Drosophila melanogaster: one gene and its partners. The protein of the gene in region 3 purifies or fractionates together with the protein of the main gene of each other region. This does not show direct contact. Each region holds a gene or a part of one and is shown on either strand. Other genes may lie near its edges.

What was found.
Region 1: the proteins of Cap-D2 (region 3) and glu purify together in Drosophila melanogaster (affinity purification with western blotting, with the first as the bait; 2 studies listed by BioGRID). This does not show direct contact.
Region 2: the proteins of Cap-D2 (region 3) and barr purify together in Drosophila melanogaster (affinity purification with western blotting; 5 studies listed by BioGRID, with this or other methods). This does not show direct contact.
Region 4: the proteins of Cap-D2 (region 3) and Cap-H2 purify together in Drosophila melanogaster (affinity purification with western blotting, with the first as the bait; one study listed by BioGRID). This does not show direct contact.

What each region holds. Positions count from the first base shown.
Region 1 is NT_033779.5:16,732,986-16,740,948, forward strand, and holds glu (gluon), read right to left. Parts: upstream 5,404-7,963; 5' UTR 5,293-5,403; coding exon 4,157-5,292; intron 4,096-4,156; coding exon 3,471-4,095; intron 3,410-3,470; coding exon 3,096-3,409; intron 3,035-3,095; coding exon 1,351-3,034; intron 1,283-1,350; coding exon 812-1,282; 3' UTR 632-811; downstream 1-631. Other genes in the region: Nubp1 (NUBP iron-sulfur cluster assembly factor 1), read left to right, coding at 1-582; ChLD3 (chitin and LDLR binding deacetylase 3), read left to right, coding at 6,011-6,209, 7,587-7,963.
Region 2 is NT_033779.5:20,056,863-20,063,349, reverse strand, and holds barr (barren), read left to right. Parts: upstream 1-1,979; 5' UTR 1,980-2,164; intron 2,165-2,333; 5' UTR 2,334-2,626; coding exon 2,627-2,938; intron 2,939-2,997; coding exon 2,998-4,548; intron 4,549-4,620; coding exon 4,621-4,965; 3' UTR 4,966-5,187; downstream 5,188-6,487. Other genes in the region: lok (loki), read right to left, coding at 179-616, 697-805, 1,045-1,202, 1,287-1,473.
Region 3 is NT_033777.3:29,673,134-29,681,036, forward strand, and holds Cap-D2 (CAP-D2 condensin subunit), read left to right. Parts: upstream 1-2,517; 5' UTR 2,518-2,596; coding exon 2,597-2,723; intron 2,724-2,800; coding exon 2,801-3,272; intron 3,273-3,332; coding exon 3,333-4,228; intron 4,229-4,288; coding exon 4,289-4,430; intron 4,431-4,485; coding exon 4,486-4,573; intron 4,574-4,627; coding exon 4,628-7,045; 3' UTR 7,046-7,124; downstream 7,125-7,903. Other genes in the region: ppk19 (pickpocket 19), read left to right, coding at 1-141, 207-359, 421-550, 600-789, 847-1,090; Bub3, read right to left, coding at 1,142-1,930, 1,984-2,175; CG7582 (uncharacterized protein), read right to left, coding at 7,358-7,903.
Region 4 is NT_033777.3:10,758,872-10,767,467, reverse strand, and holds Cap-H2 (chromosome associated protein H2), read right to left. Parts: upstream 6,159-8,596; 5' UTR 5,886-6,158; coding exon 5,852-5,885; exon of another isoform or gene 5,625-5,851; coding exon 5,443-5,624; intron 5,222-5,442; coding exon 5,019-5,221; intron 4,440-5,018; coding exon 3,517-4,439; intron 3,358-3,516; coding exon 3,095-3,357; intron 3,026-3,094; coding exon 2,890-3,025; intron 2,833-2,889; coding exon 2,270-2,832; intron 2,219-2,269; coding exon 2,024-2,218; intron 1,955-2,023; coding exon 1,571-1,954; 3' UTR 1,441-1,570; coding exon of another isoform or gene 1,340-1,440; 3' UTR 1,000-1,339; coding exon of another isoform or gene 973-999; 3' UTR 712-972; downstream 1-711. Other genes in the region: transcription factor TFIIFbeta, read left to right, coding at 1-305, 371-667; MED7 (mediator complex subunit 7), read left to right, coding at 6,535-6,864, 6,926-7,258; CG31272 (uncharacterized protein), read left to right, coding at 8,279-8,324.

The DNA of each region.
Region 1 (7,963 bases), on a different chromosome or scaffold from region 3:
TGGTCACCTGTGGGAATCGAAGACAACGTGTGTCTGATGTCCATCGGATTTCTTCTGGGCTCTGTGGACGATGCCATTATTTGGCGAGGACCCAAGAAGAATGGCATGATCAGGCAGTTTCTGAGCGAGGTGGACTGGGGAAATCTGGATCTCCTGCTACTGGACACACCACCTGGAACTTCCGATGAGCACCTGTCTGTGGTTTCGTACCTGAAAGACGACGCCAACCCGGAGTCCCTGCGCGCCGTGATGGTGACCACTCCACAGGAGGTGTCTCTGCTGGACGTGCGCAAGGAGATCAACTTTTGTAAAAAGCAAAATATCCCCATTGTGGGCGTGATCGAGAATATGAGCAGTTTCCGTTGCGGCCATTGTGGAAATAGCTCCGAAATCTTTCCAGCCAAAACCGGAGGAGCCGCTGCCATGTGCGCCGAAATGGGAATCCCGCTGTTGGGCTCCCTGCCTCTGGATCAACAGATATCCAAAGCCTGCGATTCTGGCGAGGATTTAACTGAGTTTAAGAATGTCACCACTGAGGCGCTGGAAGGAATTTGCTCAAAGATTATGGCCAGCTTTAGTTAAGAATAAGTTAAAGACCACTCAGTTTTTAAATAAAAAAAAAGATGCCTGTACAATTTTATGTAACATTTATTATTAAGCATTGAAAGGATAATACCAATTGGAAATACCGATTCACCTGAGGTCATCAAATTACGTCTCGGTCTTTACCAGAAATTAGATTACCAGGCAGTTTACAACATGCCCCTTTACAGGATAAGAAAACATTCTACAATATTGAAGTAGGTTGGAGTTAAACATTAAGTATGGCTGGGGAAGATGGCGGGCTTGCTAGGGACACATCCGTGGTTACTCTTCCCGTGGCATCTGACGGTTGAGCAGCAACCTCAGTGGCGGCCTGTTTCAGATTTTGCGCGAGTATTGTGTCCCTCACCGTACTTTCCAAGGGCGGCGCAAATGTGGTATCCCTCCCCAACTCACTAATCAAGCGGACTATTTGCTCTGACGGCGGCGATTGGCTCTTCTTCGTGGGGGTATCGTCTTGGTTCTCGGCAGCTATCGTGTTATCCCCCTCAATTGTTCCACCCACGTACTGGCTGTTAGCGACCACTGGCGACTGAGTGGGCAGCGTAGGCGGATAGTTCAGCATAGTGATGGAGTCCGTACAATCGCTGACCTTGTATATGCCCACCAGGAAGTTGGCCAGCTCAAACATGTTGACACGAAGTGAAACAATTATGAACTGAGCGTTTTTCGTACGTTCCTAAGTGAACACAACAACAATTGGCTTTAAAATGTGAATGTAAGGCAAGAAAGCAGAGAGGTATTTACCTTGATATAGTGACCCACTATAGACACATTCTTGAAATCCAGCGCCGCATCAATTTCATCCATGAAGTACAGCGGAGAGGGCTTGTAATAATGCAGGGCAAACACAAGTGCCAATGAGGAGAGAGTTTTCTCACCACCTGAGAGATTCGAGATGTATTTCCAGCTTTTCTTTGGCGGTCGCACAGTAAAATTTACGCCCTCGGTGAACGGATCCATGGAGTCCACCAGCTCCAGCTCAGCATCGCCGCCCAGTGTGATCATCTGGTACATTTCCTTCAGTTTTCTTGTTATAATGCTAAAGCCATCCATGAACTCCTTGTACCGTCGCTTGCGAACTTCTTCGTACTTGTCGCGCATCTCATTGCGCTTGGAGGTGATGTCCTCCAGCACACGGACGCGATCGAGGTAGACTAAGCGCTTCTCGTTGAACTCCTTTATGCAACTCAAGTTGGGCTTCTTTGTTTTCAGATCTTCCTCCAGCATAGTTTGCTTATATTGCAAGGCTTCCAGAGTCTCTGCCTCCAGCTCTTCTTCGTTGAGTTCTTTGAGTGGCGCTTGCGGTTCAGTCTCTCCTGGAATCTCGTTGAGCTTCAAAGGCGCCAGTTGAGCCTGCCATCCGGGAATGTCATTCTTCACCTTGTTCATTTTTCCCGCTGCAGCTTGCAGCTTAGTATCTATTTCAATGCGCTCGATATTTCGTTTGTTCTCCTCCTTGGTGATCTCATCTATTTCTTTTTTTATATCGGAGGATTGTGATTTGGCGCCCTCGATGGACGCTTCCGATTCCTCTATTTCCTTTTCCAACTCCTCCTTCTTTTCCTTAGCCTTATTTCGATCCTCATTCAACGATTTCAATTTTTCTTCTGCAGCTTTTATATTCTCACGGAGATTATTATTGTTTCCAGTGATTTTCGTTATATTTCGATCTGCTGTGGCCAAGCCCACATTCAAGGACCGCACATTGGCGGCCAGCTTTTCTATCTGGCTATTTACCTTCTTGATCTTGGCCTCCACAGGCTTGACACTTTCATTTCTAAGGGTATCGTATTGGTTCTGGATCTCTTCGATTTGGCTGGAGACAGCCTGTTCGGCGAATTGTGCTTGTTCCAGCTCTTGCTTCGCTGCTTCTATTTGCTCCTCCCGCTCCTTGACTGCCCTTTCGTCTGTTGTTTTCTTGAGCATTCGCTGCCGCTGCGCCTCGCATTGCTTCAGGTTGCTGGCCATCTGTTGTTCCAAAGAAGTGATGCTCACCGCCAGCCGCTTGTACTCCGCCTCGTCACGCTGCAAGCCATTCTTCAGGGTTTGAATCTCGCGCTCAAGACTGCCCTGCTGTTCCTGGCAATAATTGACTCGGGCCTGTAACTCCTCCGCCTGAATCTGCATGTCTTCTAACGCCTTCTGAGATATTTGCGAACTGTCAGCCGATTCTGCCGTCTTGGTGCGCACCTGGGTGCCCATTTTTCCGCGTATAGGACGACTGCCGCCACCAGACATGGTTCCCGTCATCTCGATCATCTCACCACGTAAGGTCACAACTCGGTAGCGTTCCCTGCCGTAGGCGATGCGGGTGCCCTGTTCTAGATCGTCACATACCAGTGTGTTCCGTAGGGCGAAATAGAAAGCGGTTCGTACGCGGTCATCTTCAACCTTAACCAGATCGTACAAACGAGGAACGTTTTCTGGTCTGCAATAGTACGTGAATGGTGTTAATAACCATTTCCATTCATTCTGTTACTATTACTTACGTATTTATCCTGGAGTTGGCCTCACGACGATGGTGCTCAATCTTGTCCAACGTAATAAAGGTGGCTCTGCCCACGTTGTACTCCTTTAAAGCGCCAATGGCCGCCGATGCGGTCTCATAGTTGTCCGTAACAATGTTGTCCAACCGCCCGCAGGCAGTCGAAATAGCAATGTCGTACTTGGCATCTATGCCACCCAAATCACCCAGGCGTCCTAGAATACCAGGGATCTTTCCCTCCATCTTCATACGCATGAGGAAGTCTAGGACCTTGTTATTGGATCGCTGAGCCTGCATGACGCTAGATCTTTCATTGATCTGCCGGAAAAGGTATTTATAAATAGAAGAACAGTATAGAATGTAAATAAATGAACCATACCTCTGTTCTTAGTTTGTTGCACTGCATGGATAGGTTGCGTTCCTCTTTAACCATTTTGTCCACTTCCGCGGACTTGCTGGCAATTTCGGTCTTCATCCGTGGAATGCTTTCTTTCAGCTCGTCCACCCTTGTTACTTTCTCCTCCAGACTTTTCTGCGACTGCTCGTACGAACTTTTTAGGGTTTCATATTTCCTAGACTCAGTGGTCTCTGCCTGTTTAAGGATCTTGAGCTGCGACTCGAACACTTGAACCTCTCCTTTAGCCGTGTTGACCTTCTCCTTAAGGCCCACCAGTTCGTCACTGAGCTTAAGGCGCTTCTCGGTAAGCGGTGCAGTGGTTTTAGTTAACTCGGCCTGCTGCTTTTCAAGCTCCTCATTCAGTGTCACCTTACTTACTTCCAGGCTCTCCAATTTCTTGTTGCAATCCTCGATCTCGCGCTGATTTTTCTCCGGCAACTTGTGCAGATCCTCCAGCTCTTTTTCGTTCTTTTCTATCTGGGCTTTGTCCTTCTTGCGCTGCTTGTTCGTGTTCTCCATTGTGCTCTGGATCTCTGTGTAGGCACTCTCAACAGTCACAAGTCTTTTCTTGATCTGTTCGCGCTTTTTCACTAGAGCTTCGTATTCTCTGAAATTACGTAATGTAATGTAATATATAGCTCAGTTTGAAGTTGAAGCTAGGTACTTACTCAATTTCCTTTCGGATGATTGTTTCCTTTTCGGCTCGTGATTGTTTCAGGGCAGCAGTGCCCTCGTCGTGGGTTTTTAGCTCTTCCGCACAGGCTTCATGCTCCTGGGTGTACTGCTCCAGCTTGCTCTTTTTGATGCTGATGATCTTTTGGATGTGGAAGGATTTGGTGCGCACCAGCTCATTCTCCTTCTTCAGATAGTCGACGGCCTCATTGAACGGTTGCTCCAGATCTTTCATCTCGCGCTCGGCCAGCTTGCAGCGGTTGTGCTTCTCTGTTCGGTCGTCTGTGAGTTGATCTACCCGTTGGTTTATCTGCTGCAGTGGGCGAATGTAGCGCTGTGTTCCGACAATATCCTCCAGGTATTCCAACATTCCAGTTTCATTTTCAGTCTGCCCTTTTGGCTTCATCATGGCAATGGACTCCACTTCGCCCTGCAGAATGAGGAAGCGATTGTGCTCCAGATCCACATGATGCTTCTTAAGCAGCTTAGCCACATCCTTGAGCTGCGCCCGTTTGTCGTTGATCTGGTAGTAGGAAGAGTTGTCCGACATGGCAGTGCGTTCGATAACAATGCTGGAGTCGGGCACGTCCTCGCATGTGCCGTCGCCCTTGTCTACGATCTGCTTGAAGTGGACGGCGACCGAGCAGCTGCGTAAATTGGGATAACTAGACGAGGAGTGGATCAAGGTGGAGACACGCTTGCAACGGATGCGATTGGCGCGGCAACCAAACACAAACATCATGGAGTCGATAACGTTGCTCTTGCCACTGCCATTGGGTCCAATGATGGCAGTGAAGCTCTGGTGGAAGGGACCCAATTCCACTTCGCCCGCATAGCTCTTGAAATTCCGATTTACAATTTTCGAGATGATCAGGCGCGGTCCGGTGCTCTCCATGGAGCAATGTGGCGGCACCGGAGGCGGTATGTATATGTCGCCGATCCGGGTGCCGCCCTCCTCGTCGTCGAAGATCAGTGCATCATCCAGCGCGTCCACGGCGGCGTCCTCCTCCTCCTGTTGTTGCTGCGCCCGCAATTGTTGCTGAGCAGTTAGCTGCGGTACGCGAAACTGGCCGCTCTGCCGGGCTCCGCCAGCTGCCTTGGGCGTGCCCTTGCTGGGACGCGCCTTCTGCATCGTGCGCTATTCTCAGTAAATTCTCCGTGTGGATTTATCCAGGAAAAATCCTCGAATTACAAAATCGCTTTTTCGGGCGCCAATGGTAATAGGACGCTATCAGCAGTGTGACCGTCTTGATGTGCCCGCAAAATACTGGCAAGGCCGTTAAATAAATCAGGCGAGTTGTCAGCTCTGTAGTTTGAATTTAAATTAAAAGTCGTTACATCGACGCTAAGAACAAATTTCAAATATTCTAAAACATATATGAAACTGATATTTGTAAATATAATATGAAATATTATTAATTAAATCACAATAAAACTCAACTAAGTAGTTTTTTCGATGAAGTTAGCAAAATAATGAAATACATTTATTTCATCGTAAAGTAAATGAATTTCATAATAAGCAAGCAAACTACTTAATTTCCAAAAAAGCCGTGTAATAGTTTGGAAATTATGAATAACTCAGCGCGCTCTGCGCTCCCCAAAAACATAAGCGAGACACCCACTGCGCGGAGCTTTCTCTCCGCTATCCGCAAGTCAGAGAAATGCCCAAATATATATAATGCCTTGGCTGCATCTCGCACGACTTTAGTCACAACTCGACTTTGGCTCGGTGCGGAACCATTTTCACTGGCGGTTTTTCCTTCGGTTTTCCGATCGCGCGCAAGATTAAAGCGCTCAAAGCAAGCAGCCAAACACAAACGCGAGTGGCAAAGTGGAAAGCAGGCTGAAAAATGCTCTGCCCGGGGGAAAATGCCTATAATGCAAATGGCCAAACGGGTTTCACAGTCAAGGTCGTCGCTTCCGCCCAGCGACGCTCGAAGCCACAACCAACAGCGCGAATTCCCAACGCCCACCGCTTACCCAGTTTGTGCATCTGGATGATGGTGGCGCTTATGATTATGTCGTCGTCGCTGGACGCCCTGGTCATTGGTAATTTTCTCCCCTTTTGTTCGCTTTTCGATTGGGTACGACTGAATTTATTTAGTTTTTGGCATGCTCATGCGCGCATGCGCACATTGGGTGTGAAAGTTGTCGATCGAATCGAAGGAGTTATATAACACGAAACGACCAGCCAAGTGGGGCCAAGTCGGGTTGTCCACATGCCCGCACCCGTCCCCAAAAAACAAAACAAAAAAAAAAAAAAACTAAAAAGAGCGTGTGCATTGAACCCCATGACAGTTGCTGAAATTTTCCTGACCCGCTGCCTTGGCCTCTCTGGCCGGCGGAGATGATAAATTTACTTTCTAAATGCTGCAAATGCCCAGCTGCCCCAGCTAGACATTCAGCTAGAGCTGCAGATTGAGATTCAGATGGAGATCGAGATGGAGATGGAGATATACACACACGGACTGTCAGTCAGTCGGTCTATCTACTATAGTCACACATATGTATGCACATATCTCCAATCTTGAGATCGCATCTTGCATTTGGCCAACACGCGTCGCTTGCCCAACCGCCTGAGTTACGATATGGTGCGGCACGGCTACGGGCCATTGCTGCCGATCCATGATGCAAACGCATTTCAACCCGTCCGCCGCAATGTGGCACATGGCTGGGACGCATTTCCAAGTGGGTGGAGCTGGCGTTAGTTTCAGAAAGACCTATTACACAAGTGATTTGAAAAAGTTCAACAATTTACTATACTTATCTCAAAGGTGCTCCATAGTTTACACTCAATTCTAGCAATATTTATCCAATATTTTCAATATTCATAATCATTTCCAAGTTTGCCAGTGCATATAAATTGGAAAAATATTTTTAAATGGCAAGTCAACATAATTTTGAGTGCTAGTTTAGTGCCAGCTGTACTTCGTGACTAGTTGTCTTACTATTGTTTCCATCACGTTTAAATCACGGCGGAAGATCATCTAAGATCACATTATGGTTAATATAATGTTAATTGAGGCCTCGAGCCAATCAAAAAGGTCATCGAAGTCCAACGGTCCTCGGAATTCAGGCACTTCTAAGCGAGCAAGTGGCCTACACACATTCATATATACATATATTTCCTTGAAGTTTGTCCAACTTTTCGTTTCAATTGAAGTAGCGACGTGGGTTTTTTTTTTGTTTTTTGTCGTCTTGCTCCGTAATAGTTGACTACTATTGGCAACTATGCGCACCACCCATTTCAGTGCGTGATTGGTATCCAGCTGGAAAAAAGCAAAAATATTTCTGCAAGCGGCTAATTTTGGGCTGACGTGAGCGGTTTCGTTTTTGGGTCAATGCATTAATCAGTAATCAGTCTCCTTGTTAATTACACACGGCTATCTCACACCCAGTTTCTTTTTTTGTGTGCCTGCTTTGCAGACAATGATGGAATAGTCGGCAACCAAACTCGGCATCGTCGCTCGACCTCCGGCGCAGCCAGTTGCATGCAAGATGCACGCTTCTACCGCAACCCCAACAGGCCGGTCCACAAGATCTGGACGAACAGCGAGTGCGCCAAGTATTTCCTCTGCCTCGACGGTGAGGTGTTCGAATTCAAGTGCTCCGAGGGATTGCTCTTCGATGTGGTGCGTCAGATCTGCGACTTCAAGGCGAATGTGGACAATTGCGATGTCAGCGCGGAGACGCCGGCTCCAAAACCACTACTGGAGATGGCCGACTGTGCGGATGAATACCAGTTGGGCTGCGCCGATGGTACCTGCCTGCCGCAGGAGTACTTCTGCGATGGTTCGGTAGAC
Region 2 (6,487 bases), on a different chromosome or scaffold from region 3:
AATTCGATTGATGTGTTCGCAGTAGTCGTACTAGCAAATTCGTAAAGGCGCAGGAATGATTTGCAATTAAGGGCGTTTTCAATGACCATTCCGAAGACTTACTTATTTGCATAACAGAAATGAACGGCTTGCTTAATCAGCAACACATTCGAACCCAAATAAAACTAATTTGTTTTACCCCGATCGTGTAGGTACTTGACGGCATGGCACATTTGGTAAAAGTAAAGCTTCGAGATGTCCTCGCTAAGTAGTTTGTTGCTGATGATCCGGTTAAGCAGGTCGCCGCCGCGCATAAACTCCAGCACCATATACACAGAATCCGGCTTGTCCACGATGTCGTGCATGCGAACCACGCACGGATGTGAAAGATTCTTCATAATCTTGGCTTCGTTCAGCACCCGGTCGGGATCACTGAAATTGGTACTGGGTCGCGCCCCAGAGAGCATATTCTTCTTAACGATTTTCATCGCAAACTGCTGGCAGGTGCGGGTGTCATAGACCAAACGCACCAGTCCGTACGCTCCAGATCCCAGCTTGCGATTTACATAATACGTCTTGTTAATCTCCTCGGGAAGCCCGATCGACTCATTCGGGCTGAGATCCTTGAATACAAAGGCTACAAGGGAGGGCAGGTGCAAAACATCAAATTACTTGCGAGTCCTTGTCGATAGCTATACCTGCTTGTCGATCGCTTACCTTTGTACGTTGGGTGGGACAGGGAAATTACGTCGTCATTCTTTAGGATTCGCATCCTGTTTGTGCCAATTTTCTCGTTATTCACAAACGTCCCGTTGCGTGAGAGATCCTGCGAAATGGGCGGAAACAAGGTTACTACATTTTAATAATATACGGAATTATACGGAATAGTAACTTCTTTTTGTAAATTAATTGTGGGAAATATTCAATATTGAAGTTACCTTTTTTGATAATCTCAACAAAACATAAATAAAACTTAATTTGAATTCTGCTCTTGTGGGTTCTGAATTTGCTATCTTTTTTTTCAAGGCTTCCTTCAGAGCTTTTGGGTTTGGAACTTCCACCTACCTGAATATAAACTGGATTGGTAAGTTCGCAGTTTGCCCGCTTTATGATAAAATGCACTTTGGAAATGCGCGTCAGGATTTTCTCGGGCAAATCGTTGAGCGTGAGGATCAAGTCGTTGGCCTCCCCTCGTCCTGCGGTGAACTCGTCGTTGTTGAGATCTGCAAACAGTTCAGCATGGGATCGTCATTAATACATGAGGAGCACACGCAATGGGGACACAAAACAGGAGGAAATGTGGTTACCAACAGAAAAGGACGAATGCGTATAAATGATTCGGTATTTTGAACTCGTACCCAGCGATTTGATCTTAATGTTCTTGCCGTACAATCGACCCCAGACTATCTTCTCCATCGGCTGGCTCTCCACCTGCGTCCAGATATTGGAGGCCTGACTCTGGGTTCCCTGCGTTCCTTGTGTGTCGCGTGCCATAGTGATTCCAAAACTCCGAAACTCCGTAGCCCCGTAATCTCGTATTCCTGCTATTCCGCAAGTCGAACTGGAAAACCCGTTAGGTTTGCCTGGAACTGCGTAAATTCGAAATGTCCAGTTACTCCAGCACTACCACAGGCAGAAATGCACACATACACGAGGAGTCCGATCTTCGGAAAAGCTATAGATCTATAGAAGCTATGGGTTTGAATCTCTGAGCGTTTCTTCTGCCCAATTCGATTACATCGAGCTTTTCGCACAGCGCTGGCTGATAGTTATTTAGAGTTTATCAGACGAAAACAACGAAAACTAACAAAAATCACGACATTGGTTCGATGTGAACTGCGCGAGGGACTACAATTTCTGCGGCAGTGTGTGTAAAAGTTGCCGCCTTCCAGGGATGGGGTGATTATCAGCGCCAGTGTTGGCAAGAGTCCCAAGGAAAAATTAAGGGTTTTTACAAATTAAATATTGCTTAGGTTAAGACTTTATTGTCAAAAGAAAAAATACTAATTAACTACCGGACTGAAAATTATATAAAAAACTAAAAGTATTGAAACAGATTAATTCCTTTACAGATCGTAGTTTCTTTAATATGGTACATGTATTTGAAATTTAACGGCCATCCATTGTTGAAATCCATTCAGCACTGGCAGGACCTGTGCAGCCCTGAACTTAAAGAAATTCCATTGTAAGCTATCGTGTTTTTATTCGATTTCGAAGCTTTAAGGTGTAAATTAAGTTTGTTTATTTCATTTTTCTCATATGATAAAATTATGTATCATGTTTATACTAGTTAATTATATTCCGCAATACTTTATAGCTAATTCTTTAGCGATTTTCCTGTCCATATTATCTAGCTAGCTTGGCACACCTTTAGTTTTAACCAACACTGAAATGCAGCCCTAAATTGCGGCGTCGTTTGAAAGAAACTGTAAACTATTACCAATACCAGCGCAAAAACAGAAATAGACAAAATACAATCAACAAATCATCAAAAAACAAAAAATTCAAAACTGTCGAATTGGGATCACAGCTATTATTAAAAGTGAGTGTGCTTATTAACACTCTCCAAAACCATCAGCCTACGGCAACCAAAATTCCTTGTGCTGTTCTCTGACTTCATCTCTGATTTATCCACTTCCTTGAAAGGATGACTCTGCCCCGCTTAGAAACTCCGCTCAGGCGGTCCGCAGTAGGCAGTTACCAGGAGGGGGTGTCCCGCATGCTAACCCCCTTTAACGACGACGAGGCGGAAAGGCGGGAAGCCCGACGTCGCACGCTCCTTCAGCAGCATCACCGGTCGAGCACTCTGGAGTCCATCGAGGACAATGAGACCATCAAAAATTGCTTGGAGCTCTACAATGGCAACAAGGTGAGCAAGGACAACGCCTGGAACCTGATGCTCATCGATTCGTTGGCCAATTTGCTGGATCACCATCACAAGCGCATGAGCAACTTCAAGGTGGGTTTTGCCTCATTCAGTTTATGTAAATGTAATAATTTCATGATGTTATACCCTAGATGGCTGGTTCCTCTTTAGAAGCCTCTTCCAAGGTTTACGGCCTGCGTGTGGACTCCATCTACTTGGACGCCATGCGCATTTCAGCTGGCTTGAGTGCACGAACTCTTACGGATAAGCAAATAAATGCTGCCGAGGATGATGATGGCCCCCAAGGTGAACAGGCTACTGGCGAGGGTCAGGACTCAGCGCAACAGGCAGCAAAAGAAGCAGCACCGAAGCCCAAACGGCAAAAGAAACCCATATCCACCGTGACCAAAAACAGAGAAACGCTGAACAGCCGGCTGGATACGGCTCCCTTGCAGGATCCTGTGTTTGGCAAGCTGAACTCCACTGTGGGCTCTATAAATGCTTCCAATCGTCTGATGCACAACATTCTTCCTAGTTTCGACTCTGAATTGCGCTTGCGTACCACCTACAATTTTTGGAACAGCGAAGAGTCCACCGAGGAGGTCCAGGACCACACTACACTCAATGCAGAAATGGAACAATGGCCAGCCACATCACTTATGAGCACCAATCTTATGCGCAAACTGCTGCCACATGCTGAAAGGTCAAATCTGCGACCGCTGCATACGGGCTACATCATCACAAGTGCTCCCAATCCCAAGTCGGCAAATGAAAAGGCCGCCGAGGTAGTGCAGGATGAAGATCATGACGAGGGTCTGGATAATGCCGACGATATGTGTGTAAATGAGATTTCCATGGCCTTTGACATCAATGCCGAGTGTGAGCCCATGCCGGACCTGGATGGACCACCGCCTCTGGTGCTGGAGGTGGACTCCAATGAGCTGGAAGAGCTCACTGCCGAGGAGCAAATGGTGATCAATAATTGCCGTCGGCTACGTAAGCAGACAGAGTTCATCGAGGATTTGCGACCGGTAGACGGGAATTCCAAGCTAGAGTACTCCTACAGGCCGATGGACCAGATCTCCCAGTTTTGGGCCGGCCCCTCGCATTGGAAGTTTAAGCGGACTCGCCCGCGCAGCACTTTCTCGCAGACCAATGGACAGGTGGACACTCAGCCTATTCGCACTCAACGAGCGAAGAAGTCAGCGCATCTGAATGCCAACCGAAGAGCCAAGGCTTTGGACTATGGCAATGTGACGGAAAACTTCTTCCAACAGCTGGACACCACCATAAGGCAGCGCAAGGCGAATTTCCAAAAGAAGTGGGATCCCCGAAAGCTGATATTGCCCACCAAGTTCGAATTGGACCCGGATCTTTTCTTCAAGTACGAATCCGCTCCCAGCATAAAGTTGTCGAAACGCGCAGGTGAACCTGATTCGGATGAGGGTGGAGATCTTGGCATCGATATGGATGCGGATATGCACCACGATGATGACAATGACCAGGAGCTATTCAACAACGAGCATTTTACCGACGCCGTTCCCGCCAACGTGAGCGTTATTGCCGCGATTGCTGCGGAGCAAGCGGCCGAGGCAAGCATGATGAACGTGTCCGCGGGTGAGATTGGCCTCACCCAGATGAACGCCACTTGCAACAACACAGTCTTCGAGATCGGCACCGAGTTCGAGGGTGCGCCGTCGCAGGTGAGTCTTCACTATAAAATCATATATACATACCTGGTATTCTAAAAACCATATAAAATAATTTACTTGCAGGTTGCCAAAGTGATTGTTCCATTCGCGAAGAGAGCCAAGGTTATAGACATGAAGAATCTGAAAAAGTCCTGCAACTCTCTAATACAGAAACAATTGCTAAACGCTGTGCCGGAGGAGACGATACCCTCGCATCCCAAGAAAAAGGGCGAACACTATTCAAAGGGTTTCGCGAGTTTTCAGCAGGTGTATCAGAAGCTGCCCGACCTTTTGACCACCAAAATGTCAGACTCGCTGTCCCCGTCGGTGGCATTCTATGCGGTTCTGCATTTGGCCAACGATTTGAAACTGCGGCTAATTCCGCAGGAGGACTTGGAGGACTTTCAAATTCGCCAGGTGTTGGATTGAATTTCTTTAATTATTTTTCAATTCATAGTTCTAGTTGCCCTTAAATGCTGTTACAATTTATTTTCACGGCTACTCCTTAATCTCTTACCTCTATTTTTAACTCCCAATTCGTATCAGTATTCTGAAACAGATATCCTCACCCCAGTCGAATTTTATACACAAACGAAGCATTGTTCTGATTTAAACACTAGTTAGTAAACAATAAATTAGGAAATATCTAAGAAAATTTCGCTGTTTTAATGGGGTATAATAAACTGGTGAAATTTTCTCAATTGGTAAACACGTATTTATGGCAAAACGGCATCAAAAAAATCTGTAATTTAAACGCCGCAGAAAAGAATTAAAACTTTCGCATTAGTTTTGGCTGTTTATATTCTGCTGGCGGCTCAGACAGAAGGGAAAGTAGTTAACATTGTTTTTCGTTTCTGTTGCTCTTTCATTTGCATACTTGTGTTGGTGCACACTGACAGAAATGATTTCGAGAACAATTTTAATAAGAAACCTCGATTATTTTAATATTTTTAACATCTGCCGAGTAACAGGTATTTTAAAACCAAAAAATAAATAAAAAAATGGGTAAAAAATTGTTTAATTTATATGGTAAAATGTTGCTTGTTTACCACTGAAGAATTCGCGATTTGAAGCTTTTCCGGCGGATATAACTGTTTACAGTGTAGAATGGAGAAAAAAGGAATGGAAATCCTAAGGCGTTTTTAGTTGCAAGTGGTTTTTGTCGCCTCCTGAAGAGGATTTTCCTTCTGCATCTGTGTTTGTGGGGCACACATGTGTGTGTGTGTGTGTGTGTGTGTGTTGGCTGCTGGTGTGTTTGTGTTTGTTGGAAAACTTCGGTGTTTACAGAGCGCTTTTAGGCGCCGTTTGCGTGTGTGTGTAATTGCATATTATTTGCATAAATATTTGCGAAGTATACTAAGTAACGTTAACGTTGGCGTCTACCGATTACACTCTGTACATATGCGAGAAAAAAACAAAAACGAAAACATCAACAACCAGATCATTCGAAAACGTTTCGCAAAACTTTTGACATTAGCGAATGACACTGAACAAAGTTGTCAACTTAAAAGTTGATTCTAATCTGCATATGTTCAAATTGACGGTTACAAAAGGATAATTTCGATGAGATTTCCATGTTTGCCTTAAACTTAAACTATTTTTAAGTTTTTGGCTGAAAGTAATAAAACTAAACAAAAAATCTGTGAAATTTCTGGAAAATGTAGTGGGTTTTGCGCTTGTTATGTATGTTCTTATCGTTGTAACCAGGTTCCGTGAAAAAGTTTCCCCTGCTCATATGTTTTTCAGTTTTCAAGGGAAATCCAAACATTTCAAATTCCATTTCAGTAGCAGACACTGTTGTTGAATAATTCGAGAGCATGCATTTTGAATATAATGACTTTTGCACAGTGAAAATTAAACGTATTATGCTAACCCGTTAGCCGCCCACCAAAATTTTATCCCCGTAAAGTGCAATTTCGTGTTAAATTTTCAATGCCTGCATGAAATTAAC
Region 3 (7,903 bases):
TCGCGCAAAAAGCACCTGATTAACCAGTTCTATCCCCACAAGCTGAGCACCGCTGGCGAGGATTCGGGCCTGAAGTTCACGATCAATGCAAGCTACTCCTTTATGAACAACATAGACGCTCTGACTCCATTTGGAATGAATGTAAGTCCCTTAGTTGCGTCACAGTTTGCTCATATTTTGTTTAATTTTATTTTTTGGTTACTAAGCTCATGATTAAGGAACCACGCCAGTGGTCCAATGAAATGATGTACCACCTGTACCCGGATACGGAGAACTTTGTTGCTGTGCATCCGCTGGTCACGGAAACCTCTCCAAATACCTATGAAATGAGTCCCAAAAAAAGACGTTGCTACTTTGATGTGTGTATAGCTTGCAACTAATAGGAAAAGATAATCATAATAATAATTCCTTACTCCATAGGATGAAAAGAACCCTACCTTCCAGAACACTTCGTTGACTTATAACCGCGAAAACTGCCTGGTGGTGTGCCTCCACTTAGTTGTGTGGAAGACCTGCCAGTGCTCGCTGCCAGCTTTTCTGCCTCCCATTGGTAATTATCGTAATTATTCTATTACATTTTAAATTTTTTTTTTTTTTAGATGGAGTTCCGGAATGTGGAATCAACGATGCACAATGCTTGGGCAACAATTCCGATATATTCACTTACGTGAAGATGGGTGATCAGGAGAAATACATTAACGACTCACGACAGGGTCACTTTTGTGATTGCCCAGACAATTGCAATTCACGGCTGTACGAAATGTCACTTAATGTGCGCAAATTGGATTAGTAAGTTCAATGTATATATTCTTAAAGAACAGATAATTAAATTCCCCTCTCTTTTAGCCCAAAAAACTCGACAGATCAATTGATAAAAGCCCAGGTTTATTATGGCCAACGTGTCATGACCAAAATCATTACGAAACTCAAGTACACCAATATAGATTTACTGGCCAACTTTGGCGGGATCATAAGTCTGTATATAGGGGCCTCCGTCATGAGTTTTATAGAGCTTTTATTTGTGCTGGGAAAACTGATGTGGGGTTTCATCAGAGATGCGCGCATAAAATTGAAAGAGTATACTAAGTAGCTTACTTTAAAAAATGATGTAAAACTTTGCCGTAAACAAGTATATATAACATTATTTCTGTTTAGTTTCCTGGTCCGTGGGATAGCGTATATAGATAGCCGGATGTGGCACTGTAGCCGGCGTCTCTGGCAGTTGGTCCAAGTAGGAGCAGCCGATGGCCAGGGCGCTGCCATCGGAGCTGAAGTTGAGCGTGGATATGGAGGTATCGTATTCGTGGAACTGACAAAGGCGCTTCTTGTTGAAGCCATCCCAAATGTTCACAATGCCATCGGATCCGCCAGTGGCGAACGTCTGATAGACATTGTGGAAACTCAAGGCATTAACGGGGTAGATCTGTTCGATATTCTGCTCCCTATTCCGGTGGCACTTGAAAGCGAACTTGCGGCGCTGCACCTCAGGATCGTGATCCAGGTACTCCACTGCCACCCGTCCCTCGATGGAGGACATCACGTAGCCTTCTTTGTTGGGGAATAGACGAATGCAGCGGGTCTGGTACTTGAGCGAGGACTCCCGCTTCATGATGTAGCTGTCCATCTTGCGAAGGTCCCAGATGAGCACCTTGCGGTCGGAGGTGGCCACCACGATCTTTTCGTCGATCACGGACATGGAGTACACCTTTCCGTTGTTCTGTTCGAAGGTTCCAACGCAGCGCTTCTCCCGCATGTCCCACAGCTTCACGGTATTGTCCCAGCTACCCGTGAGGATGCCATTGACATACTCGGCGTGCTCCACGCATCTGATGGGCTCCTCGTGGGCACCAATTATGCTTTCCGCCTGGGTGTTGACATCAAAGAGACGCAGCTGGTTGTCCAGGGAGCCACTGACCACGTGCACTATGTCCTGCGGATCGTTGGTTGAATAGGGGATTGTTAATGTGTACGAAGGAGTCTCACCATGAAGGCACAGTCGAGAAGAGGGGCATCCTGCACGAATTTCTGACGCAGCTGGTTTGCCGGCACATCATAGAATCTAAGTGTTCCGTCCCAAGAAGACGCCGCCATGTATTGATTCGATTTGGGGCCGAATTTCACAGCGGAGATCAGGTCCTCCGGCGGATTGTTAAGCTTGAACTCTGGGGGACGCATTTTGTCAAGTTTTCTGCTAGCAACTTGTGGATAATAAAACAATAAATTCAAACAGAAACTGCTTAAAACAAATCAAACTCCGAATTTGCACGGCGTCTGGAGAAGAGATGCGAGTATTTCGATATCACTATCGATACATTGCATATTTGCATCAAGGGGACTCCCTAAACAGGTACACTTTTAATAATGTAAAAAATTTTACAAACCCCTGTTAAACCAATATAAATTTAGTTTTTGTGGTAAGTATCTATCTGATAAATACACCCTCTCATTATGAGCATTGTAAGCTTGCAGTCAGCAGTAACCGATAACCGATATCAAGCGATCGATTTGGCGGCGAATCTGCCCATCTCTATAAGCGACGCCACTCAATTCAGAAGATACAATTATTATTTCGCGGTAAATAGGAGTAATAACCGCCATGGAGGAATCGCACGACTTCCAGTTCGTCCTTCCCCTGAATGCATCTGATCTGATCAACTCCAGCGGAGATCAGTATTACGTGAAGGAGATTTTTGGCGCCCAGGAGATTCCCGCGAAACTACAAGGTAAGTTTCCGTTTTCGCGGTTGGTTTTTAAATTGAGTACAGTTTTCGGACGCGCAATCTTCATGTTTCCTTCCCAGAATGCAAGCGCAAAGTGCACTTGGGCGATCCTTTTTATATATTCGAGCACTTCGACTTGTATTACTCGATCATCGAGGCCCGCGGTTCAGATGGCGCCTCTGCACAGAATCTAATGAGGTCCTTTGACCTGCTCTACCTGACCGTGGAGAAACTGTTCCAAGACTTGCAGCCCCTGCTGACGGCCAGTGAGCCCATGTCTAACCAGCAGCGCAATAGTTACCTCAACCTGACCAAAATGACGCTGTTCCTCCAGGTGAGCACCGTCAAGAAGATCAACAACAGTGTCCAGCAGGCCATGCGGGATCAGCAGCTCAATGTTCAGAAGAAGCGTGCCAAGCCATCGGAGGGATTGGAGCAGTTTCCCAACTGGGAGGTTAAGCGCGGCAAGTTCTTGGTGCAGCTCTTCAACGTGCTGCAGTGCCCGCTGGAGAAGCTCTGGAGTCCGCCCGTAGCCGAGGAGGACTTTATAAAGTAAGAGCAAAGCATTTAGCATCCTATTTCTTCGATCTGCAATGTATCCATCTTCCCCAGTTTGCTCTGCGACCCCTGCTATCGAACAATCGAACTTTTGCCGCTTCGCATGGACAACAAACACGTATTCGACACGATCTTCCAGATCTTGGGCACATCGATCAAGCGCTTTAACCAGGCCATGACCTTCCCGGTGCGCATTCTGCAGATCCTACGCGGTACCGAGCATGCAGCCCATTCAGTAGCAGCTGGAATTTTGCTTCTGCACGAGGAGTACGGAATTTCTTCGGTCTTCTCCATTCTAATCAAGAGCATTGTGGATGCTCTAAGGATGGACAGTTCTGACTCTTCGGTGTCCAAACACTTCTCCAATTTCCTGGCCGAGTTCTCGAACATAGCACCTTCGCTGATCGTACCGCACCTGGAAAAGCTGGCGGAAGATTTACTAGATTGTCAGTCTCACACGCTGCGAAATTGTGTGCTCCAGATCATCGGCGACACCGTGGTTAGCGAACTGACCTCGGAGGATCTTAGCGAAGAACTGAAGGAAGTACGCAATGAGTTCCTCGAGCACCTAATGGCCCACATCCTAGACATTTCTGCACACGTGCGCTCCAAGGTGCTCAGTATCTGGCATCACCTGAAAACCCAGCACGCCATTCCGCTTAACTTCCTGACCAGAGTGCTGGAGGAAGCCATCGGAAGGTTGGAAGACAAGAGCTCGCTGGTGCGGCGTGCCGCCATGCATCTGATCAAATCCGCCCTGGAAAGCAATCCATACAGCAGTAAGCTTTCCATAGATGAACTCCGTGCCAAGCATGAACACGAGGTGCAGGCAATGGAGAAACTTAATGAGGTACTCGAGGAAGAGCGCAAGCAGGAGGAGAAGCTCAACGACGAGTTTAGCAGCTTGGCGCCCGAACTGCTGCCTTTCATAGAGGAGAACCTTACGGAGTGTGAGTTCATGCAGTTCCGCTAGTTCGACGTATATATTAAAGTTTATTGTTATATTACAGTTCCCGATATGCAGTTCGACAAGGAGGAGAGCGACGAGACCTTGATGGAGCGGATCATTCCGCTGATGCGCGAAAAGAACTACAAGGATGTTATTGTTCTAGTGCGAAAGGTAGACTTTTTGGCGGGAAATCAGAATATGAGGTATGTTGCTAATCAAAGATGGTTTTGTTTTACCATAAATATATTTACTTTCCAGTTCCTTACTGAAGCACGAGGAGCATTGCGTGTATGTGCTGGCCTTGCTAAAGACATATCACCTGCTGGCTGCTGGATTTAAACAGAGCGTATGTTTAATCTTAGAAAGTTATATTCCCTTCTAACCAAATCTTTTAATTTAGAGCGAGGAAATGCTGCAGCAAATCAAAACGGTGCAGTTCCTAAAAGACAGCATTGACTTTGCCGTCTTGATGACTTCAGCCTTCCCCAAACTGCACGAGATGCTCATGTCCAAGACAAACACGGATGTTTTTGAGGCGGTGGACTTGTTCACCACCGGGTACATGTTCGGAATTCACGGCACGGAGTCGGGAATGCAGAGAATGCTGCAACTGGTCTGGTCTTCGGACAAGGAGAAACGAGATGCAGTGTCGGATGCCTACAAGCGCGTTCTGTTCTCCACGGACCAAACGGGTCGCGCTCATGCCATTAAGGTGGTGCAGAACCTGTCGAAGTTTCTTTCGGAAATCGAGTATGGTCACTACACGGCCTTGGAGTCGCTGATGACCGAGTGGGTGTTGGGTGGCGACATCGATGCTGCTGTCATCCAGGTGCTCTTTGAGCGCTTCACGCTAAAACTGGAGGGCACTACATCCAACGAATCTCGCCTGTCGCTCCAGCTCCTGATAATGGCCTCGCAATCGAAGTCTAGTATTGTTTCGGCCAACACTGCCATCATCGAGGATATCGCCGTCGGAGAGCGGGTGCGTCGGGATCCACGGATATTTACCTCCTGTCTGCAGCTGCTGGTCAACTCAATCGATGCAAACAACACTGCCAAGTATTATAAGCGTCAGAACAGCGATGCAGAATTCGTGGGAAAGATCACGCGGCTCTTCCTCGACTTCTTTTTCCACAGAAGTCTATACGACTTCGACGCACTGGCCATGAGTGTTTTTGAATACTTCTATAGGATGTGCCAGGCGCCGGATGTGATTGCGCAGCAACTGGTGACGGCTTTACTCAAGCAATTCAATGAGAGCTGGCTGGTCAAGGAAGCGGCTGCAATAGTTCCCTCTCCAGACAAAGCGGATACGGAAACTGTTCCGGACTCGCAGCCCTTGGAGATTCCGCATTCGCAGACCCTTACTCCCACTCAGACTCAAGCTGATAGCCAATCGCAGATGCAAGGCACCTTGATTCCCGTGTATCTCGTCTCCCGCTTAATCTTTTGCATCGGCTACATGACCATCAAGGAGATGATCTTTCTCGACATGGATATCTATAATAACATGAAGTATCGCGACGAGCTGACGGCTCTTGAAGAGCGTAAAAACCGCAATCAGCAGGCGGGAAGTTCACATAATGCGGCCAGACTTACGCTTAATATGTCAGCGATGGAGGTGCGCAAGAGGCTGTCCGGAGTGGCAGCGGAACCACAGCAGGAGCCAGACGACGATCTGGTGGGAGCGACTGCAGAGGACAACATCGCCGAGGAAATCCACGGCATCTGCGAGGACATGCTGCTTTACAACCCGGATGCTCTGCTCTCCAAGCTGGCGCCATTTATCATAGAGATTTGCAAGCGTCCAGGTGAGTTTGGTGATCCCACGTTGCAACAGGCCGCTACTTTGGCTCTGGCCCGGCTCATGACCGTCTCCTCCCGTTTCTGCGAGTCCAACATGAGCTTTTTGATGAACATCCTCAACCTAACGAAGAACATTCGAATCAAGTGCAACACGGTGGTGGGGCTGTCGGATCTCACTTTCCGTTTCCCAAACATCATCGAGCCGTGGACGGGGCACTTCTACGCTCAGCTGCACGAATCGAACACCGAGTTAAGGCTAACTGCCGTCAAAATGCTATCTCATCTGATCCTCAACGAGATGATACGCGTCAAGGGTCAAATCGCCGACATGGCACTTTGCATTGTGGACGGCAACGAGGAGATTCGCAATATCACCAAGCAGTTCTTCAAGGAGATAGCCAACAAGTCGAACATTCTGTACAACGTCCTGCCAGATATCATCTCCCGTTTGGGGGACATAAACCTCAACCTGGATGAGGACAAGTACCGCATTATCATGTCCTATATCCTGGGTCTCATCCAGAAGGATCGCCAGATTGAGACGCTAGTGGAGAAGCTGTGTCTGCGCTTCCCGGTAACGCGGGTGGAGCGTCAATGGCGCGACATCGCCTACTGCCTCGGCCTGCTCACCTACAACGAGCGAGCTGTGAAGAAGCTAATGGACAATATGCAGCACTACAGGGACAAGGTCCAGGTGGACGAGGTTTATCAGTCCTTCAAGCTCATCATTAGCAACACCAACAAGTTGGCCAAGCCGGAGCTCAAAGCTGTAGTCACCGAGTTCGAGAACCGACTGAACGAGTGCCTGCAAGTCAACCCGGATACCGCTGCCCAGGGTGATCAAGAAAGCACTCCAGAAGGTCAGGGCAACAGAACCAGAGCGGCGCCAAGGACAAAGAAGGGTGGTCGCAAGCCGGCGGCCAACAGGAACAATACTGTGCGAGGACGCGGAAGACGTGCTCGCCGGGATTCCACCTCAGAAGAGAGCTTCAGTTCCAGCAGCAGCGACTAGTTCGTGCTCCATCTTAAGTTACGATCTGAGCGGGTTTTTAATGATGTACAAAGATGGTTTTTAATAAAATAGTTAATAGAACCTATTATTGATATATTTATTACTTTGAAGTCAACAAACATCTAGTAAACTACTAAGATCCGTTTCCACATCCATCAGAAAGGGAACAAATATTTGGTTGCACTAAGCTACTGGGATGGGGAAACCAACACACGTAAATGGCAATACTCTAGACGCTTTGGAAGTACTAAGTTTGGTGGTTGCGTTCATGTTGTCTCTGGGCCTCCGACAGATGAGCACTGGGCACTGGCTTCACTTAATTTTCTTGCGAAGGGAGCGCTGGAGGGCAGGACCGTCGTCCGCGGTGCTCAGCGCAATGGCAAACTGGGCGGCGTAGTAGGTGATCATGATCTGGAGGCGGGCGCAGGGCAGGGGCACGCCCACGAACATGGTGACCGCGATCAGGGCGTCGGAGATCACAAACAGAATGGCTCCGATGGCACAGAACACGGCGAGGAAGTTCCTGGAGTCCACGGCGCGGGCCAGCGATCTCCACAGCATTGTGGTGATCAGGAAACAGTAGATGGGCACTCCGATGATGAGAATCTCGTCCAGTTTCGTGTGCACGAAGTAAACAACTGGGGGTTTCAAATATTCCAGGTAAGGTATACGTATATAATGACCAGTAAACTTACAAAGCGATACGGCCACGTACAAGAGCAGTCCAATGAACCACTTTATGGGCTTCCAGCCAAAGGCGCTGATATAAAACACGTGCGCCACTCCAAAGGAGATCATTCCGAAGGGAAAGAGATTTATGTTGAGCAGAGCATCACCACCACTCGAGAAAACCAGACC
Region 4 (8,596 bases), about 19 Mb from region 3:
AAATACCCACCGAGCACATCCTGGACGTGTCGCAGGTCACCAAGCAGACGCTCGGCGTATTCTCGCACATGGCACCGTCCGATGGCAAGGAGAACTCGACTACCTCGGCGGCACAGCCGGATAACGAAAAGTTGTATATGGAGGGCAGGATTGTGCAAAAGCTAGAGTGCCGACCCATCGCCGACAACTGCTACATGAAACTAAAGCTGGAGTCCATACGCAAGGCATCGGAACCACAGCGACGTGTGCAGCCTATCGACAAAATCGTGCAGAACTTTAAGCCTGTAAAAGACCACGCACACAACGTGAGAACAATAATACACTCTGTTTTGGTAATATATATGTATATATAACTCCTCCATTCCTGCAGATTGAATATCGGGAGCGAAAGAAGGCCGAGGGCAAGAAGGCGCGCGACGACAAGAATGCCGTGATGGATATGCTCTTCCACGCATTCGAGAAGCATCAATACTATAACATCAAGGATCTGGTCAAGATCACCAACCAGCCGATTAGCTACCTGAAGGAGATTCTCAAGGATGTCTGCGATTACAATATGAAGAACCCGCACAAGAACATGTGGGAGCTCAAGAAAGAATATCGCCACTACAAGACTGAAGAGAAGAAAGAGGAGGAGCACAAGTCAGGCAGCAGCGACTCGGAGTAGCATTGGGAGAATCGCCGACTTACTTTCATTAAAACACATTAAGTAATTGCATGGTTCCGTTTTATTCCTTAAGAACTACACGTTATACTTACGAAAAAAACATTATATCTTAAAATGATTGTAAATAGACACTAGCTTGCACTCTGGTAAATACATACGTATATATACACTTTATCCTTAATTTATCTTGAACTTTGTCTTATGTCCGAAGAGTTCTTATGTTTATACTTTTGTACAGACGAGATCAGGTACTTGAATTTAGTACTATCAGCTCATGAGGATTTCCAAAACACGCGCTTCGTCAATCAAAAAGTCATTTGTCTATTTTTGTTCTAAATCAAAGGAGGTATAGTGTTAAATTTTTAGGAAATCATAGAAATAATAAGAATACGAAATAAATCTATTCGTAGGTAAAGTAAAATAAATCAAAAATGTTCAAAAGAAATAGAAATTAATAAAAATGTGAAAATTTCATAAGCAACTAAAAGCGTCGTAAAAAGTTAAAAAAGTGAAGTGAAAGAAAAACTAAAAAACGGCTTCATGCTTAGGAAAATCGAGCTTAGATAATACTGGTTTACTACTCTAAAGAAATATTGATTCATACATCGATAAGCTTAAGCTAAAGCATTCTTTCTATTGCAAGCTTCCTAATAATACGTAACTAAAACTTACATTTGTACACGATTGCGGGTAAATAATCTGGCAAGAACATATATCTAATGCAGCCTCTTGATCTTGTTGTACCGCATGGGAAAGCGCATTGATCTCTCGGCCTGAAAATAATATACATAAAAATTGAATTCGAATAAGGGGGCACACAAACTAGACTCTACTACTGGGTCAGGACGCAAGGAATCTTATCTACAAAGAACTACTAAGCACATTTAAGACGAAACACGGCTACTACTTCAGGCGGGCTGTCGATGCCAATGATGAGCCCATCGAAGATATCCCCGAGTCGGCATCAGAAGGAGTAGGCCACATCTTTGGGATGGGCTGTATCAATCGCACAGTTTTAGCAAACACCTCGGATAAAGAATTTTCCGCAGACTTTCGTTTTGTTGGTGCAGATGCCGTCGTGCTTGTTCGTGGCTTGTGAGCTGAATCATTTAGCTGTTTACTTCTCGGCGTCGATTTGCTCTGGGCAGCATTTATGTTGCCCACGTCGTCCTCGGGATTAATTTCCATTCGCTTCATACTCTTTAAATGCATTCGAAACTGAGACATGTCGATGGGCTTACTTTTATCGCGATTTTCAAAATCCAGAGACACGTTTCCGTGGTTCGTCTGCAAATGAGGAGTGTAAAAATGATTGCTTATCGAAGGACAGCATTTTGATTGAACGCATTAACTTACCAGTACCAGGGAAGCCAGCATGTAGCGACACATGATACTAGGATCCTTGTCAGCCATGACGTCGGCTAACGTGGCTGTTCTGTTGCCCGCCTTGCAAATGTCCAGGATCTCGGTGCCCAAGTCCTTAATATTGAAATTCTGCCGTTCATGGGCTGCTTCCAAAGCAGGAGCCAATCGTCTATGCCAGTCCCGGATCTAAATGGACAACGTTAGTATTTTTTTTATAATTTTATATCCAATATTTACCAATGAGCAGTCGTCGACTGCTGAGTCGGCAATTGGATTGGGTGTTTCAGCAGACAAATCATTTGCATCTGCTTCGTCATGTAAGGTATCTTGGTCCTGCACGGTTGAAATCTCTAGGTCTGAATTGTCAGGTTGGGTGACATTTATAATGTTACTATCCATTGCACTCGGTTCGGTACTTAAATCCAATACAGAACTAACTAACGCGCTCTCCATTCCTAAATCCACTGTGGTTTCCAGTCCGCTTAGCGTTCCGGAGGATTCTGTAGCAGTCACTTCAAGTTGCGATGAATTTGCGGTATTGTTTTCCGCATTGGGTTCGGTGGAAGCGTTTAATTCCTGCGCTAGTGAATCTCCCAGCCCACTTTCCTTTGTATCGTTCACATTCTCATTCAAGGCGTCGCTGGCGCTCGCGTCAGTTAAATTATTGGTGTTGGCTTCAATCTCATCTTCAAGCTCAGTTTTAACTTCTCCGATAGTGGAGACACAACTTGATACACGCGGCTCTTCGATATCGAAGCCCGAGTCAAATGTGGGTCGACGTTGGCGGAAACCCAGAAAATCTGGTAAGATATGTAAGATAGTTTCGCGACGTGACATAGTGTGGCAAAGTAACTTACTCAAGTCCTCATCAAATTCTAAACTACAGGGGGAGCCGGGTTCTCTTTCATTTTGGGGAGCCTCTCTTCCAATTTGCAGTACAGTTCTGGGAGTGGTTGGGGATTTTTGTTGTCCCTCTCGCTTAATAGGAAGGCGCTAAAAATAAAACACATATGCAGTTCAAGATTTTTTTCCAACAGTGATGTAACTACTGAAAACACTTACTGCTTGCCTGAATAAGTCGAACTCAGGTGGAAGTTTAAAGATGCATTTCCGACGCAGGCGTTTTATGGGGAGACCCATAACATTCAGCAGAATAGGATAGCTCACCTCCCTTGGAACATTCATGATAAGATCAGCATCCATCTCAATGATATTGAGCGTTTTTGCCTCCATCGATGGGCTAACCATCTGCAACATGGGCGACAACTGGCGTTGATCTTCTAAATCTGAAAGAACAACACCCTCATCATCAAAAGACTGGCCTGCTGTGACAAATGCAATGCAGGGATGCAAGTGTTTGACAAGTGCCAAAATAAAAGAGTAAAGAAAAACAAATATGTAAGTATTTGAAATCAAAAAATAAAGGATTAAAAAAACCCTTATCCTTAGTACGCTTGGCGAGCGTTGGATTGCCATTGCTTTACCTGTATGCATTTGAATATCGGAAAGCTCTTCCATACTGATCCCTGAATCGATTAGCAACAGTTCATCTAGAGTGAGATCTTTTATGGGATCCACTCTCGTGCTGTCGAGAACACTAGACTCGTTAATGGCTAATGTGCTGCTCAGCGGAGGATTCTCTTCTTGGCTATCGCTTAAGGAGTTTTCTATATGGCTGACGCTTAAAGTCGCCTCGACTTCGCTACTCTTTAAAGTAGAGTTCTCCGCCTGACTGATGCCCATCGTAGACTCGGCTGTGGTTAACGACCTGCTGTTTTCATCCACCAAAGATTGGTCAATAAGAACAGTTTCGTTCGTGTCCATTGGCAGATTCTTGTCCATGCACATTTTTTTCGCCAGTCCCTCATCCAAATTGTCCTCCATAAATCTCGCGGAATCAACCAATCTTCTTCTCCTTGTGACAATGGCTCCATAGCGGGCTGCTAGCATTTGATTCTCCAGCGCAATATACTCGTCCAGATATTCCTTTGTGGTCATGTGCTCATTAAGAATCTCAGTGGTGTTCACCTGATTTGTGTGAACATATTCTTTAATGAGATTCAGCCTTTCGAAGGGAATATCTGGCAGAAGCGTATTGTATCTATGCTCTACGTGATACGTAAACATTTTGTATTGCTTTTTCTCATCCTGGTCGTAGGGATTGTGAGGATCCACAATTGGCGCGTGTTTCCACAGGTTGGGCGGCGTGTGATCCTGATAAAGGTATTCTATCGTCCGATTTCTCGTGCACTTTACAAAGCCCGCCGCGTTGAAGCGCTTGTCGTCCGACATGGTTTTAAACCTTTTCGGTTCCAACGTGAGCAAATAGGGATCAACTTCCTTGTTAGTTAGCTTTTTAGGGTGACGTTTGCGCGTTTCCTCAGGCCTGCGCTCGTTTTTCTCCGGTCTGTAAATATGAAAGGAAAACAATTATTATATCGCTAAATGCAGATTAAAAGAGGATAAGATTTCTTTTTTTTAAAGGACTGATTATTATGTAACTTAAATATTATAATGAAATCATCTTATGTTTAATCAAAATACTGGTGCTATCTTTAAAATTAATTAGACTTTCAACATTTAGGTCAAATAATCTCCCCAAATTCTTTAATGCCGGCTGATAAGAAAGAATTTAAGTGAATTATAATGTAAAAATATTTATTTAGGATGTGATCTATCTCTGAATAACTTGTTATTTTTATGAATGAACTGTCTACGTTTTTAGCTTCACTTGTCTGGTTAATTTCTCATTTCTTTATATACTCTGTTTGTTATTTGTTTTTGGAAGCACGAGAACGTGCCCTATCGTCCATTAACGGCAAGCCGGCTTCTGTGATATTAATGCAAACAAAGCCGAAGGGGGCGTAAAGTGAAGCTCGATAAGCGGAATTCTGGACCGAAAAGAGCCAGCAATGGCGACAAGTGGGGAGCACGTGGCCTTGTCTTTCTCCATCTTCTTAACTCTTCAGTTCTGAGTTAAACTTACGCAGCACTTCCGCTAGGGGTCTCCTTCTGCAACTCCGATGTGAGCAGGGCTTCGATCTGGTGCTCCACCACCTGGCACAGGTACTCCACTCGGTCTCCATAGATCTTGCCGCAGTACTGGAGGGCACTTCCTGCGGCCACGATGGCCGATCTTCGAGAGACATCATTTCGTCCTAAGCAGTGGCGCAGTAGCTCTTCAATATACTGAAAATATAAGCAATGTATTTGAGGATCTGCAGGCTTTTGTGTTCACTGTAAATAAAATAATAGATTTTCTTGAAAACCCATTTATATAATTTTAGTTAAAATACCAGTTATCGAGGCATGACTGTAAAACCCACGCACGTTGCGTCACACTTTTATTTTGATCTTTCTGCTCTTCGGCGGTTTTGCTTATCTTGATAATAGTGGTCTTCAACACTCACATATCCCAGTGATATCCGTAGGTCCGTGGAGTAGTCCGTGTTTTTGGAGAGCTCTTCGAGGAGGACGACTAGCGAGGCCAGGTCCTGTTGCTCATCGTAGGCGCGGATGCACTTGGCCACTTGGGTTCCCGGCCGATTCTTGGCTATTTCCAATATCTGCTCCCGCGCTTCGCTCAAGTAGGCTGTGAATTAAATAGAAACCGATTGGATTTACTTAAGCAAAAACCACACACCCAATCGCAGATCCGCTTTATTGTTTATTTCGGCCCTCCCCATACACACACACACACACTCGCATAGAAGCACCAACACACGCGGTATACTGGAAATAGCGCTGACTTAATCAATGGGAAACGAAGATCACGCCTGGGGCTGTCCTGCGTTGGTTACCTAAGTTCTGGATGCTTACCCGCTTCCGCTTCTTCAGGCAAAATCCGCTCCATGGCTCACTAGATGACACTAGGAAAAGTTTGTTTTATGTCCGGTTTTGCACATTTTACTGGCATCGTGCACAAGCACTGCAAGCACGCACACACGCTGAGTGGGGAAATCAAAATGGTGGAGGCAGCACGGCTTGTCTCTTAGTTGGGTCCAGTTATGTTATGGTTTTACGTTTTGTTTTCATTTCTTTGGCAGGAACAGGAATATTGGCGCGAATCGGTGCTGGAACAATTAGCTATTCACATCAAGATATATATGTGTTTCTTATTTTGTTGTGCTCTACCGACGAATGAGGGAAGAGACGGAGAAAAATTGCTATGGCAATGCTGTAGGGGGTGCATGCAAGCATGGTCACCTTTAAGTTATCGATAGCTAGGCACGGTGAATCATTTATTATTTCGAGCTCGATTAATATCTAATTTAATTTTTGTAATTGTAAATTATTTGTCAGTGTCTCAAAACATATTATAATAAATTCTGCTTATTATTGCATTGTCTAGCTTCAAACCTCTAGTGTGCTCATTTTTAAGAAAACAATTTGAGTGATAGTGTCATCACTATCGTGAGTGATTCGCCTGTCTCAGGTGCCATCACTTCTTCAAAACAAAAATCATTTATTATTTTTGTATTTCCGCACTTGTTAATCTCATAATGTCCAACCAGGAGACCCAGGTTTCCAGCCTGCCGATGCCGCCGGAGCGGTACATCGCCAATTACACGGACGAGAATATCCGCCGCAACCGAGCGCCACGCCCACCGCCGCCGCCGGCGCAGCACGAAGTCTATAGCATGTTTGGCATCCAGTACAACAACGACGAGATGATCCGCAGCTTGGAGTCCCAGAATATTAAGCGACTGATCCCCATCCATTTCGATCGGCGCAAGGAGCTCAAGAAGCTTAACCACTCCCTCTTGGTCAACTTCCTAGATCTCATTGACTTTCTTATCCTGAATCCTGACAGCCCGCGGCGCACGGAAAAGGTGAGTCAATTGACCCATTAAAATGTAGCATCTATTGTATTACACTCATTTGATATCTTAGATTGACGATATCAGTCTGCTGTTCGTCAACATGCATCACCTCCTCAATGAATTTCGCCCACATCAGGCGAGGGAAACGCTGCGCGTCATGATGGAAATGCAGAAGCGGCAGCGCGTTGAGACCGCCGCCCGTTTCCAAAAGCACTTGGAACGTGTGCGCGAGATCGTTAATACCGCCTTCTCAGCTCTGCCGGTTCTAGATGATGACGACGATAGCGGCGGAGCAAAGATTAAGACGGAGGTGGATCCGTTGGAGGCGAATGCGGCGGCCAAGAATGATCCCAGTTACCAGCACGATCGCATGTTGTGCAAGCTTGTGGACGCTATCGAGTAAGCTGAGTTGGCAAAAGACTGGACATCGACGCTGGAAATAGTGTCAATCATTGTGAATGGCTTGGAAAAAAGAGCTCCTCATATTTATAACTCCTTTTAGTATAAGAAATAAAACCCCAATTGTGGGATGAGAATCTTGCACGTCTAATGAGTAATTCATTCAATGGGAATTAATGTGTTAAGTCATCTTTGAGATAAGCTTTACACAGATAAGATCCGAGATAAAGGCTCATGATTAAGCATCCCACAAATTTCACCATTAAAATGACGTAGTCAGCGTGGAGTAATAATATAGTCAAATGTCATAAATTAATAATCTATCTAGAACAATTTATTCAGGATAGGAATAACAATATAAATGTATATATTTAATTGTAAAAATTGTAAAGACATGTGACATGACATGAGACATGAACACCTCACACGTTTTCCTACTTTTAATGGGTGCTACCGCATGGCATCATCGTGGCTAGCCGAAATATGCTCGTACAGTGCGTTTCATAATGTACATATACATATGTGGTTTTAATGAATTTGTATGGAGTTTCATCAAAATTACTAATTTTGTTTGATAAACATGATTAAAAAGTCAATAGAGATATTCATTCACAACTGGAGTATAATGTTTTCCCTAAAATTTTTTTAACTCACTGTGCCCTTTACAAAATCCAACGTGTTTTTCTAAATAAACATGGTTTAATACGTTTATTAGCTTTCTTAGATTGTAAAGCCCGCGATAAGAGAGATGTAGTTAAGTGAATCTTCACTTTTATTGAAGTAATCTCCGATAAAAGGAGGTGCCATGCGCTCTAGATGATCATTTCTCGTGCAGCATTGCAAGTGTGCAAGTCGGTTGAATAGGAATATTTTGAAAACCCTTAACTCATTGACTTTGAACTTAATTTTTTAAAGAACTTGTGGTTGCGCTTTTTAATTAAGAACTGCATCGTATTAATTGAACAATCAATTTCAAGAGCAAGCCGATTGTGAAAACCCATGGTGACAAACAGTAATAGCTAAGATGTCGGAAAAGAATATTAAAACAGCGATTCCAGAGAAAAGCAAAGGTAAAGGGTTAAAAAATAATTGGCAACTAACTACGATGGAGTAGAAAAAACCTTATAAACCCAATAAAACAGAGCTTCCTTAAAAAGTGCATTGTTTTTAAGAAGTATCATGTAATAACCAGTCGCAAATTAACTGAAATGTGTTTATTGTGACAAATTTAAGCGTAATCTTTTATGACACTGAAAAATAGACGTAAAATTATGTGATTAGTCGTAATCTGAGTTTCTAGAAATTTATCATAAGTGCCTTAAACAAGTGTGGAAAAGTTTAG